Linked DNA regions of Mus musculus. The protein of the gene in region 2 interacts with the protein of the main gene of each other region in a biochemical or structural test. Links are inferred from orthologs where the notes say so. Each region holds a gene or a part of one and is shown on either strand. Other genes may lie near its edges.

Region 1 (4,652 bases), on a different chromosome or scaffold from region 2:
ATGTTCACGATACTGGAAGAGGAAAAAAAAAAGTGTTTCCTGTGGAATAATTTTCAAGAGTTTCAAGTTTTGACCACTTCATTTTTGGTATATTTCCACTCAAGTGTTTTCATTTCCTATGAGCCCTGAATTTGTGACGATTGAGTTTTCATGTTGATATCAGTCAGTATGTGCAACTGCTACAAAACTTCTGACTACTGTTCATCTCACAGCTTTCTATCTTTTCAGATTTCAGATCTTCCAAACATACTAATGTTCAACGGAATGAGGAATTTACTTCATTTCTTCCTCTCTAACCCTGATTAGATAATAACCTTTTATAGTTTATATTAGTTTACCATAAGTGGTTACTATCTATAATATATAGGACTTAAGTAGACAGGATTAAATTTCAAAACAGTAATTTAAGAGACATAATGTGACTTTGAAGCTTTCCTTAAATCTACACTATCCCCCTCGTTTCTATGTATTTAACCACTATAGGGCCATTTCTTAGATGAATCAGGCAAAAATGTCCAAATTCAACCATTCAGTTTTGACACCGGGTACTTTCCTAGGCAAACCATTTTAAGGAAGAATGCTTTTAATGCCTGGCTCAATACCCTGTGGGGATTCCCTGCGCACTTCTCTCTTTTTAGTTTGTTGTGATGTTTTGGATGAAGTATATGAAGAAAAGCTCACCCAGAGTAGGTCTGGAATTAGAAAAGCAAGCACTTAGATTAAATGGCATTTTTCCCTCCATAAAATGTCAAAGTTTAAATGGTGGCTTCTAGATTACTTGCAACTGGGGATCTGCCTTAACACGCACTTGGTCGTCCTGCAGTTCCAGTTGGTTTATCAGGCGCTGGTTAATTGGAAAACCTTACTACTCATGGATGAAAAAGAACGGGAAAGGAAAAATACACGTTTTAGCATTACTACAAAAATCGGCCGGGTCTTCTGAACACCCTTCAGTGCTCCCAGGGACCCCATAGTTTGAGAACCAGTCTTAAGTGGGCTACAGATTTTGTGGGAATCAGCTTCTGCGAAGATCATAAGGAAATAATTTTCCTGCGAAATAACTCAACTGGATGAACATACAGTCCCCCCCCCCCCCCCCAAGCCCTGGCTGTCCTGGAACTCACTCTCTAAGACCTGGCTGGCCTCGAACTCAACCTCCCAAGTGCTGGGATTAAAGGCGTGCGCCACCACTGCCCGGAACAGAAAGCTAAGTGTATTTTTAAAACTTTTTCTTCTACTAGCCGTCTTGTCCACCCTCACCCCAGCAACCCCAGGTGCTTGGTGGGTCACCGGAAGCAGACTGTTCACTGAGCGCCAAGGCCCACACGGAAGTACTGAGCATGCGTGGGACTCGCGGCCGTCTCGCCCAGTGAAAGGTCAGAGGTCTCGAGAAAGGCCTGGTGTTCTGTGGCGGAAGAACCGGCTCGCTCACGGCGCTTCACGCCGTAAGGTTCTGTACTGGGAATTCTGGCATGCGCCAAACCCGCCCCGAACTACCGGAAGCAGCTACCATCCGGCTCGCCCGCACCTACGCACTTCCTCTCTGGGAAGGAAGGGGCGGGCTCTGGCCGAGTGTGCACGCCCCACGGGCTGCGCATGCGCCTTCTTCCTGGCGGCTCCGGAGCGCCTCGCCGGGCCGACTTCGCTCGCTGGTTGACAGTGCGCCTGCGCGGTCGCTGGGGGCTCTCCACCTCTGCCTCCCCTCCCCCTGACGCCCCGCGGGGGCTCCGGGCCCGGCGGGACCATGTTCACCAGCACCGGCTCCAGTGGGCTTTGTGAGTACCGGTTCCCTCATCCTTGGGCCGCCCTTCGCTCCATTCCGAGCTCTTCCCGGACCCGGCTCGGGGCAGCGGGGGACTCGGGGTTGCAGGAGGCTGGGGGCCCCTTGCCTCCCGCGCCCGAGCCTTGTCAGTTCTTGCTCTTAGGGGGCAGCGGGCGCCGCACCCACCATAGCCCCGAGGGCCGAGGGGGTGCCACGTCCATTCCGCTCCCGGCGTCTCCCACAAGGTGCGCAGCAGCTCCTGCCCTGCTGCAGGTGGGCTGGGCAGTTAGGGTCCAGCCGGGTGCCCCGCTCATCTCGTGGCCCGGGCCCACGCACGCACTTGGCGACTCGAGTGCGGGGCTGGAAGATGTTCCCGTGGGGGCGACGCTGGAACCCTGCTCGGTTCCCTCTCCCCCTTCATTCATACAGGCTTCTTTGGGACCCACCTGATTCCTGGAACGTGTGAATTTCATCCTCCGCTCCAGAATCTGCCCCCTCAATATTAACTTCCACGTACATCTTACCCGTTGTCCTTGAAGAGTTTTTGCGAGCTGAAAAAGTGAGCGCTTTTCAGTGAAGTTAGGAAGTCACTTGGCAAGAGAATGCAAGCTTTGCTTCTGGATGCCGCTGCACTCTCCAGGAGTGTCTGCGGTGGTCAGCAGGTAGAGGGCGGAGAAGTTTATTCAACCTCCAGGCACCCCCCCCCCCCACGACATTATGTTGAGTTGACTTTAGAGAGTGGACTCTTAACTAAACAGTGTTGAGATTAGGCATTGATACACTAACAGCAAACTGTTTGAACAAGCCGCAGTTCGCAGTTTCTTTCTCTGTCGGTATTTCCCATCTCTGCGTGTGAAGTTAATGTTGCTAGAGCACAGAAGTGCCTGGCATCTCCAGATGGTACATTCTGTTGTGAACGTCATGAGCCTTTCAAAGAACACTCCTGTTACATAGTCTGAGAGCTGACTGTCAGAGCCAGCGACATAATTTAAAGTCGTCCTCACCTCTCACCGTAATCTCAGGCTTTGAAGTAGGTTTAATGTTGTTTATGATCTCCATATTTAGTACCTAATTTAAGTTATGGAAACGTTGACGTATTGGCCCCAGAATCCATCAGAACTACTAGTGAGTTGGTCTTCAAACTACTGTTTGGATGAATAAGGTAGTGTGGCTTTCCTAGGGTTACACTATGTGGGTGGATCTGTCAACAGCAGATTTCTTCGATTTTAGTTGTTCTCAGCATCTTGAGGCACCCTTTTGTACCAAACATGTAAAAGTTAAAAAGTGACAGTCTGGGGACATGGCTCAGTGGTTATGAAGCTTGTCCTGCAGGCATGAATATCTGAGTTCTAATTCTCAATACCCATGTAAAAGCTAAGGCATGCAGTGTGTGTCTATAACTCACCAGTGAGAGGTGGAGGCAGGAGATTCCCCAGGGCTTTGCTGGCCAGCCAGTTTACTGTGTCAAAAAAAGTGGAGTGATTCAGAAAGACATCCCAATATCAGCATGCACACAGGTATACACGTGCACACACACGTGCGCACACATATGCACACGGGAGAAATCTGATCGAGGGCAGCACAGTATGGATTAGGTTGTAGTCGCATTTGTAGCACAGCTTTAAGAAAGGTAATCATTTGTTATAGCTGGCATGGGTGCGTGTTGAACAGGTGTGTTCTCAGGGCCAACTGTAGCCTAGGGAAAGCTGAGGTTATAGGTCCCTCTTGAGCTCCCTCGAGCCGGTGTTCAGAGCGGAGGAGTTACTGGGATGGCTTAGGTCATGCTTTAGGTGTGCATTTGACAAGCATCCAGGACCTGTGAACTGTTTGGTTTTGGAAACACGGTGTTAGGCAAGTCTTAGGTTCAATGTTTCTGATTTTGACAATAGAGCTTAGTGGTGGTTCTCCCTAGATCAGTCATTTGGCCGTTCCTGAATGTAATGACTTTTTCTTTTTCTTTCCTTTTGTTTTGTTTTGTTTTCTTTTTCTTTTTTTTTCAAGACAGGGTTTCTCTGTGTAGCCCTGGCTGTCCTGGAACTCACTCTGTAGACCAGGCTGGCCTCAAACTCAAGAGATCCACCTGCCTCTGCCTCCCAAGTTCTGTGATTAAAGGCGTGCGCCACCACCTCCCGGCTTGTAATGACTTTTCTTGCTTCAGTGTTTTCTCCTACATAGCTACTCCGCTGAGTGATGTCCTTTTAGGTAGGCAGCTGTGTGGCTCCGTGGTTAGGTCAAAGGTCTGATCCTGAGGAAGAAGCAAGCACCCTCAGAGGGGTGATTGATACATCTCTGCCTAGAGGCTGTGACTAGCCATCTTTCTGGCCATTTCCCGCACCTGCCTGCCCATCTGACATTTGTGATCAGGAGATAAAGGTGCTTTAGTGCTAACACTTCGCTCCCCTCCCGTTCATTCAGTTGAGGACCTCCTGAAGCCCTGCATGGTTTACATAGACAGTAATGTGGTAAACAGAGTAAAGGAGTCTAGCATCAAACAGGCCAGTCAGTAATCAAAGTGCTCTTCAGTACTGTCACGTGTAGTGGATGGTGGTCCTGGTAGAGGGCTGCTGTGTGTTTGCGGGAAAAGCCTGAGAAATGAAGGAGCCAGGCATGCTACGTACGGTTCCTTCAGAAAGTTGTTTTGAAGAAAGGAAGCAGCATGCACAAAGACAGAAGGTGCAGTGCAGCAGGATGTGTGCAAGGTTCTGCAGGAGGCGTGCGCTGCTAGGGCAGTGAACCAGGGGAAAGGGCGCTTGTGATTATTTCTTTGCCACTGTTTTGTTCTGTGTCAGTTAGGATTGGGTAAAAGTGCTTGTAGATAGTGTGCATAATGTAGTTTAAATTCTCACATGTAGACTAACCCTGTCACTAAATAATACATGTAACCATTTTA
Region 2 (4,139 bases):
GATCAGCCTCTGCTGGTCAGGGGGGATGCCCTCCTTGTCCTGGATCTTTGCCTTGACATTCTCAATGGTGTCACTGGGCTCGACCTCCAGGGTGATGGTTTTGCCTGTCAGGGTCTTCACAAAGATCTGCATCCCACCTCTGAGGCGAAGGACTAAGTGCAGGGTGGACTCTTTCTGGATGTTGTAGTCTGACAGGGTGCGGCCATCTTCCAGCTGCTTGCCTGCAAAGATCAGCCTCTGCTGGTCAGGGGGGATGCCCTCCTTGTCCTGGATCTTTGCCTTGACATTCTCAATGGTGTCACTGGGCTCGACCTCCAGGGTGATGGTCTTGCCTGTCAGGGTCTTCACAAAGATCTGCATGCCACCTCTGAGGCGAAGGACCAGGTGCAGGGTGGACTCTTTCTGGATGTTGTAGTCTGACAGGGTGCGGCCATCTTCCAGCTGCTTGCCTGCAAAGATCAGCCTCTGCTGGTCAGGGGGGATGCCCTCCTTGTCCTGGATCTTTGCCTTGACATTCTCTATGGTGTCACTGGGCTCGACCTCCAGGGTGATGGTCTTGCCTGTCAGGGTCTTCACAAAGATCTGCATCCCACCTCTGAGGCGAAGGACCAGGTGCAGGGTGGACTCTTTCTGGATGTTGTAGTCTGACAGGGTGCGGCCATCTTCCAGCTGCTTGCCTGCAAAGATCAGCCTCTGCTGGTCAGGGGGGATGCCCTCCTTGTCCTGGATCTTTGCCTTGACATTCTCTATGGTGTCACTGGGCTCGACCTCCAGGGTGATGGTCTTGCCTGTCAGGGTCTTCACAAAGATCTGCATGCCACCTCTGAGGCGAAGGACCAGGTGCAGGGTGGACTCTTTCTGGATGTTGTAGTCTGACAGGGTGCGGCCATCTTCCAGCTGCTTGCCTGCAAAGATCAGCCTCTGCTGGTCAGGGGGGATGCCCTCCTTGTCCTGGATCTTTGCCTTGACATTCTCAATGGTGTCACTGGGCTCGACCTCCAGGGTGATGGTCTTACCAGTTAAGGTTTTCACAAAGATCTGCATCGTCTGTCACAAAATATACAAAACAATTCACAGGTCAGGAATGACACAAATATTTGTGGGATGGCATCAACATTTGTCAACTGGATGCTATAAGTCTAAATAGCAAGGTCTATCTACACAGATTCTGTCTTGAATCCAATCCCCCCACCCCGAAAAACCATCAAGAAAATAAGATTGTTGACTAACAAAGTTAAGAAACCTCGGCATGGTGAGTCTTTTTGTATTACCAAATTTACAGGATGGAGACTTCAGTATACCAACAGCTGAAAGTCAATTTCTGTCTATTTGAACAGTTTGCAGAAAAGCCTGACCTCTGGGAGGTTATGAAACCACAGCAGTCCCGGATTCAGTTTCAGAATGGTAATATAGCAAGTTACTACTGCAAAACTAAGTCTGAGCCCATGCCTATCGCTGACCTCAGCACTGGGGACACTGAGGTGGGCAGATCTCTAACTGGAAGGTCAGCCAGAGACAGTGTAATCCTGCCTCAACTCTCCTTCCCCCAAAAGAACACCAAACTTTTGTCTGAACGATTAAAATTAGTCTGGAGTGGTGGTACTGGCCTTGGACCTCATCACATGGGGTGGTAGAGGCAGAGATTTTGACAGTTTAAAAAAAAACACCCTTGTCGCAGGACAATGGTGGTGCCTTTCGTCCCAACACTTGGGAGGCAGAGGCAGGAGGATTTCTGGGTTCGAGGCCAGCCTGATCTACAGAGTGAGATGCGGGACAGCCAGGACTACATAGAGAAACCGTCTCGAACCCCCCCCCCAAAAGTTTCAGTAGTCATAGTTGTACAGCGACATTCTTAAAACGAAACAGGACAAGAATGGCTCACATTTCCCCTCTGAATTTCCGGTTCCTGTTTACTCTGGAGAGGCTACCGGAGGCCGAGACCCAAACCCTGTCCTACAACCGAGGGAAAGCTAAAGTCAAGATAGTGACGTCACTATCCATTAGGAGGCCACGCAACCCGCGACGTCACAGGGGGCGGCAGGCCAGGCAGGCTGAACCGCCGCCCAACCCCCTTCCGGTCTCGATCGCACTTCCGTCTTTCAGCAAACGAACGGACGAACGCCGGGCCAATCGACCTCTCGGGCCAGCCCAATATCCACGGCTCTCACAGCAGAGGCTCCTACGGCGCGCAACCCTAATTCAGTCCCCACCCCACAGTCTCCGACGTCCCCGGCTTAACCGGAGGGCAGCGGCCTCGCGGGCCTTTTTCCTCCCCCAACCTCGTCCTGCGCGTCAGAGCCCCGCGTCTTCCCCCTCAGGCTTCCATCTGGCCGCCATCTTGCCGCCCAGTCCTCTGCCTCGGGGCAGCCGCGGTCCGCGCGGGCCACGGAAACCAAACGTCTGGGCCGCGGGGCTGCCTCTCGCCCCGTCTCGCCTCCAGCCTCCCGTCCCCGACCGGGTGCGGCGGCTTTCTCCTCACCAGCGGTGGTGGCGGCAGTCCTCACACAGCAGACGGAACTCGCAGTCTCCACGGAACTAGCTGCGGCACGCCCGGCGTCTCTTTATATAGTCACCGAAGCCCCGCCCCCCCCCTTCCGCGCGGTCCCTCCGCGGGCAATGCGGTCAGGGACTACTTTGTAACGCCGGGTCCAGTCTCGGCAGCGAAAGCGACAGGCTAAAACTATCAAGGTACCTCTCTCACGGAGTTGTTTCACGGTGGCGTCCAGAGATTGAGGGGCTTTGTGTGGGAGGGCAGGGCTGTGACCTCGGGCGACTCCGCGGAGGGATCAGCGCGCGTGAGACGATCGGCACGAAAACACGGCTGGGATCACTGAGGCCGGAGCGGGCCTTGGCGCAGGCGCCCTGCGGCTTCGCGGCCTGGCGCCCCTAGTCAGGCCACCACCCCCCACCCCCCCTGTTTTCTTTCCGCGCTAGGGGGACCCAGGGCTTTGGCTCCTGTCACACTGGGATCCCATTGGTGACCTCGCCTCCTCAATCCCCTCATCCCCGGCGGGTCACTATGCCCAGCCCTCACTGTTTTGGCACAGTGACAGGGTGGATGACTGTGCAAATCTCCTAACAAGGAAAATGACAAAGGGTTTTTAATAAATTTAAAAAAAAAAAATACGAAGGAGGGAATCTCTCCCCGATTTGGAAAAACGAATCTGAGTTTGTCAAGGAAAGCAGACAGTCTACACAGTTCTTGAAAACTGTTGGCATTAGATCTGAAGCCCAGCAGAACCTGATCTTTCCAGATTTTTCCTAAACCTTGTGTCCTTGGATTCGAGAAGGTTCTATGTTTTCTATGTGCTTGTCACTAAGTAAAGGTCAAAATTTCCAAATGTTGTTCATATTTGTTGTTCATATTCTGAGACTGAACCCACTGAAGCCCTGATTTTTAAATTTTTGTTGTTCAGATGGGGGTTTCTCTGTGTAGCCCTGCCTGTCCTGGAATATGCTATGTAGACCAGGCTGGTCTCAAGTTTATATAGGTCCTCCTGCCTCTGCCTCCCAAGTATGGTCTACAGATCAAGTTCCAGAATGGCCAGGGCTACACTTGACTTGAAAAACCAAAAACCAAACAAAAAACCCCCACAAAAACAAAAAAGCACAAATGTGCACGTGTAGTACAATGTTCAGATTACAGCAAGCATATATCCCACTTATACGAATCAAATTATTCAGGGTTTTTTTTGTTTTGTTTTGTTTTGTTTTTTTTTTTTTGGTTTTTTGAGACAGGGTTTCTCTGTGTAGCCCTGACTGTCCTGGAACTCACTTTGTAGACCAGGCTGGCCCCGAACTCAGAAATCCACCTGCCTCTGCCTCCAAAGTGCTGGGATTAAAGGCCTGCGCCACCACTGCCCAGCTCAGGTTTTTGAAATGTAAGGCCTAAGACCTTAGAAGGTAAGAATTGAATCCCTGATGGGGAGAGATGGCTCCCCAGTAGGAACAGGTCTTTTTCCAGAGTACATGAATTCAATACCCAGCAACCCTGTCAGGCAGCTAGCTTGTGACTCCAGCTTCAGGAGGGTCCAATGTCCCTAGGGACACTTTCACATACATGTGGCACACACTTAGATGGACACACACTATTAAATGCCTTTAATCTCAGCATTTTTTGAGTTTTTTTGAGACAGGGT
Region 3 (4,893 bases), on a different chromosome or scaffold from region 2:
TTCTCAGACTTTCACACACAATCTTGCTCATCCTAACAGAGACCTGTGAGTAAATCCAAAGCACTGTTCTTTCTCCGGATGACATATTGAAACTCACACTCAAGGAATCGGGAGTGCTGGTCCACAGAGGTGGTGCCTGCTAGAGTCTGTGCTGCTGGTCTTTTGCAATCTGCCTGGCTGTTTCACTGGGGTATATTTGCATACTCCCAATGAAAATAAGGCAGGGGCATTACTTTTATTGTCTAGGTGCCAAAACAGGGATTTTCTCCCTCCTCAGTAAGAGTGTATGACACTCAATACCAGTCAGAGCATTACTTCAACACACTGGCTACCCTTTTAATCTCCTACCAAAAATAATACACACATACATACATACCTACCTACATACATACAGGATTGTTGAAGAAAAATAAAAGCCAGAATACATAACACTCCAAGATGATGAGTTAGTTGGTTAAGGGATCACAGATTTACCAATCATTTAATTACTGAAACTACAGACAGGCAAGAACAAGATCAAGCTTTATACAATAATATTTGATTGTACCAATGAAGGGATGCCAACAGGTTAAAATAGGAGGCCATTATGAAATAAGCCTGAGATAGAAAAAAAAAAAAAAAAACACCCACTGAGTTGTGAAACTAGCTTTATTAGTACTATAAATGCAAGTGATTAGACCCATCCTTCCAAAACAGGGTCAGAGGCAACCATTTACTGCACGTTGTAAAGAAATCACCCTTCCATTACTAATTTGTTCTTGTTTTCAGCACAAGTCTCCCAGTTATGCTCCATTTTAATGTGCTGAATTCCTCAAGAGGGGCTTCATTTGCTGTCTCTTTTCCCCAAAGTGGACTCCCTAACTGATGGAGGCAAGACTGACTCACAACAGGATACCTGCCACTTGCATAATTTTTTTAGATGCATGTGCACAGTGAAGCCATTTCTAAGTTTGATATAATTTTACATAGAAAAAAAATTAGGCTTGTATTGATACACCCATCTCGGAATCCCTGTAGTTGACTACAGATGAACAAGAAGTGCCCCATTCCTTGTGAGGTGTAAGCTTTTCCTAGTGAGAGGGTGTGTGTGTGTGTGTGTGTGTGTGTGACAAATCTCTCTTGAGAAAATTCAACTATAGCCCCACAGCTACAGCTAATGAACTAACAGACCACATGGACTGGCCTGTTGTTGGTAGTGTTATGTTCCAAGCTCAAGACTCACTGTTGAAGATGTATTTACAGGTAAGACCCATTCACACAAGTTCTGCACTCCCACAAAGAACTGCAATACTGGCCCAGAAGGGGTAGCACATGCCTATAATCCCAGCACTCCAAGGGCTGAGAGAGGAAAATTATAAATTCTAGGTCACCCTGGGCTATCATAGAAACCCAGTCTCACAAACCAAAGGAACTGCAATACTGTCCTGTGAAACCAATTAACTTATTAATCTTTAAAGGCTTCATGCAGAACAGAAGAAAGACACCTGACTTTACAAAGGTAAGCAAGACACCAAGTCTTGGAGCTCCAGAAAACTGCAGTTATTTCTATTCCTTATCCTGGAGGACAGTTTTCCTTGTGTTACCCCGTATATTTTGCTTCAAGAATATAATCCCCTTTGAAGAAGTAGTACGTCAAAAGTATTAAAGCAGTCCCTAAACTACCTTCCTAGCTCCAATCCAACCCAGGCTGAAAGACCACTCTGCTGAATCGTCCCACCGTCTTTTCAGCCTTGCAGATGAACTTGATTTCTGATGCACACGATTCACATTTTACACTACAGCCCAAGCTGCCAGTGATAATCTTAAAGCTCATAAACAAAGACCAGCGTCGGCACCAGGGCCCTACCAGGAAGTAATCAAAGCCGGGTGGCCCGTCCGACCTTAAGTCCCGGCAGACAATGAGAGGGCACCGGGGCTTCCAAGGAAGCAGAAGGAGTTAACGCTTAAGCAACTCGAAGGCATAACATAAACCTACGAAGTGTCTTACACGCACTCGGGAATTCCCAACGAAATCCCTGCCAACCCGAAAAACTGCCTCGGAACAATCTTCGAAAGGCAAAACAAAAAAAAACAAAAAAACCCAAAACACCCAACCTCGAGCCGCCCCTCCAAAGCAGCTGTTGGCTGCCTTCTCCGGAGCTTTCGGAGCCCGCAGCCTGTTTTCAAACTTCACCCTCACAGGCTGAAGAGAGACTCCGAGGTGAGCAGCCCCCAGCGCAGTCCGCTCAGGGGCTGCGGGGGAGGCAGGAGCCTGTGGGAACCCGAGGAAACGCAACCCAAAGGGGCTCGCGCGCCGGCAGTCCAGACAAAGCTGCGCCCGCAGAGCGGCGCTTTGCCTGTCCGGCCCACGGGGGACCGCGAGCCCGACCCCGCCACACGTGCGGCCGCGCGCGGAGCCGGCCCTTAGGTTCGCGGAGCCTTGGGGTGCGAGCCGCCGCGTCATCCCGCCGCTGCGCGCTCGCCTCAGGCCCCCGCGGGCCTCTCCTCAGCCGGCCCGGCCGTCGGGCCGCGCGAAACAAAGGAGCCGCCACCGCGCCCGCCGCGCCGCGCCGCGTCCCCTCGCCCCGCGCGCCGGGCCCGCTTGCTCCCCTCAGCCTCCCCCCCCCCCCAACGAGGCCGCGCGCTGCCCCGCACCCGCGGCCCTTCGACGGCAAGGCCCGGGCCAGAGCCGGGACCTCGGGTGCGCGGCCGGCCAGCCCCAGAGCCGCACTCACCGCTGCAGCACCAGGACGACGGGGAGCCGTTGGGGAACTTGGCTGAGTCCGGGGCGATGCAGACGCTGGAGCTGAGGTGCGGACACTCCATGGCCACGAGGACGGCGGCGGGGACAGCCGAGGCTCTGGGGCGGAGGGACTTCAGAGGCTCCGTCTGGGGTCGCTTCTGACCCGGCACTGGGCAGACGGCGGCTTCTGGGTCCCGAGCCTTTGCGTCAAAGAAAGCAAGGGCTTCCGGGCGCCGGGTTTTGCCATCCGCCGTCTCCCGGCGCCCCGCTCCGGAGAACGTGAAAATCCGGACTCCTGGTTCTGCCGCCGCCCAGGGACAGTAGGCTTCCGCCTTCTCCGGCGGCCCCGCCCACCCTGCTGGTTACGCCCCCAGGCCAGCCCGGGCCCCGCCCCCACACTAGTCAGTGGGCGGGGCATTGGTGCTCACCCAGTGCTAGCAGCTAGTGTAAAGTCCTACGGGGATGTGAAGTGACTTTCCGAAATCTGCCCCCGGCCGCTGCAGCCGATTCTTGGGAACCCGACAAGTGTGGGTACTCATCCGGGGCAGAGCGGTCGGGACCGCTGCTTCTACTGCAGTGAGTTGGCTACAACAGCGAGGTAGAATATGTGACCACACCGCAAAGAGTACGGAAAATGAAAACCACTCACACCGACGTGCATTGAAGCCCCATTTTACACAGGAAGAAACAGACTTTTGGGGCGTGGCCCTCGATGGCCCAGCCGGCTGCAAAGAGCCCAGAACAGTCCTGACTTTCGTGTTCTCCCGGTAGCAGGCGGGGTCCGGAACTGTTCTGAGTTCTGAACTCTGGCCTGAGTGTGTCACCGGGATACTGCACGGCTGGGCCCACCGGAACGCCTGTGTTCGGGGTCCACGCCATGCCGTTATGACTCACTGATATCTCCTGCCCATTGTGGGTATTTTCATACCTATACCTCTTGAAGTTGAACGAAATAATCCAGTTTGCTGTACAAGGTCGCGGGTGCTAGGTAATAAAAAGAGGCAGTGTAACATTTGTTAGAAGCCCACCTGGCTCCCAGCCAGGCACTTTGCATACCACACCTCATTTAATCCTCAAAACACCCTCTCAAGCTGCTGCTACGGTCCCCTTTTTAACAAAAAGTGAAACCAAGAGTATAATTTGCTTTAGGAAGATTGGACCCCCGCACCCCCCCCCCCCCCGCTTCAAATCTCTCTCTAGAAAGAAGTGAAGAAGACAGGAGGAGCGTCTAGAGGTAGAGAGCCTGCCACCTCACATTCTCTGCCTTGAGGATATCTGGGGCTCCCACAAATCTAGCCTCCAAAGTTGGGCTTTCTTTCTTTGTTTGGTTGGTGGTGTTTAACCTGGTAAAGGGGCTTCTTTCCTTCATCCCCTGACAAGCAAGTGGAGAGGGAAGAACAATGTGCCAATCCATGGGGCAGGAAAGGAAAGGTCAGGAAATGATTAACTGGCTGGGCCGGATAGTGGTTAGTTAGCACTGGGCACCTCCCTGAAGTGCACGCCTCTAGCACCCCTTAAGCCACTTCCGTACACCCCACTACTGCACCCTGTAGCCTTCTGCCTGATAGTGTCCACCCACCTAGGACATCTCTGCCCAGGGTGGTATTTCAGATTCCTCAGTCCAAGCAACTCTACCACTTCCCCAAGTTGTATATGATTGCTGTCAAAACAAGGCTTGGACGGGTTTTGATGGTGAGAAATTGTGGAAAGTTGTTCAGATCAGCTCTGGCAGGTACTTCATGGCAAACCTTAGCTAGTCCTCTCGACTCTTTTTCCTCGCCTATCCACTGGCAAAACAGTACTTATCTGTGTGAATTCCTAACCTGTAGTAATTAACAGATAAGGTTTGTTTTTCTTATTAAAAAAAAAAAAAAGGAGATGACTGCTTCCTTGGGACGAGAGAGGAGAATAAACAGTATCTGAACCCTATTCAGTCTCTTCCATCTATTTGTTTCACAAGTCTTTCTCAAGCAACCTTCTCAGAGTCCTCTGGGCACTGACCCTCATTCAGTGAACCCACAGCCCCTCATTCAGTGTGGAGCCTGACCCACGCTGTCTTTCCTACTAGTATGTAGTTCTTTTCAACCTCTGAGAAACGTTTTTCAAATCCCCTAGACCTCACATAACATCACTTCCTACCTCCTACCAGAGGCCTTTCCTGACTCTTCTCC

What was found. The genes of interacting proteins can lie anywhere in the genome.
Region 1: the proteins of Ubc (region 2) and Ubac2 form a complex in vitro, tested with the Homo sapiens proteins (5 studies listed by BioGRID). The link is inferred for Mus musculus from reciprocal best matches to the Homo sapiens genes UBC and UBAC2.
Region 3: the proteins of Ubc (region 2) and Usp3 form a complex in vitro, tested with the Homo sapiens proteins (6 studies listed by BioGRID, with this or other methods). The link is inferred for Mus musculus from reciprocal best matches to the Homo sapiens genes UBC and USP3.

Annotation. Positions count from the first base shown.
Region 1 is NC_000080.6:121,877,000-121,881,651, forward strand, and holds the start of Ubac2 (ubiquitin-associated domain-containing protein 2 precursor), read left to right. Parts: upstream 1-1,606; 5' UTR 1,607-1,744; coding exon 1,745-1,775; intron 1,776-2,208; exon of another isoform or gene 2,209-2,409; intron 2,410-4,652. UniProt on the Homo sapiens protein: Restricts trafficking of FAF2 from the endoplasmic reticulum to lipid droplets.
Region 2 is NC_000071.6:125,387,218-125,391,356, forward strand, and holds the start of Ubc (polyubiquitin-C), read right to left. Parts: upstream 2,801-4,139; 5' UTR 2,693-2,800; intron 1,048-2,692; 5' UTR 1,045-1,047; coding exon 1-1,044.
Region 3 is NC_000075.6:66,590,070-66,594,962, forward strand, and holds the start of Usp3 (ubiquitin carboxyl-terminal hydrolase 3), read right to left. Parts: upstream 3,047-4,893; 5' UTR 2,806-3,046; coding exon 2,715-2,805; intron 2,713-2,714; exon of another isoform or gene 2,444-2,712; coding exon of another isoform or gene 2,095-2,443; intron 1-2,094. UniProt on the Homo sapiens protein: Deubiquitinase that plays a role in several cellular processes including transcriptional regulation, cell cycle progression or innate immunity.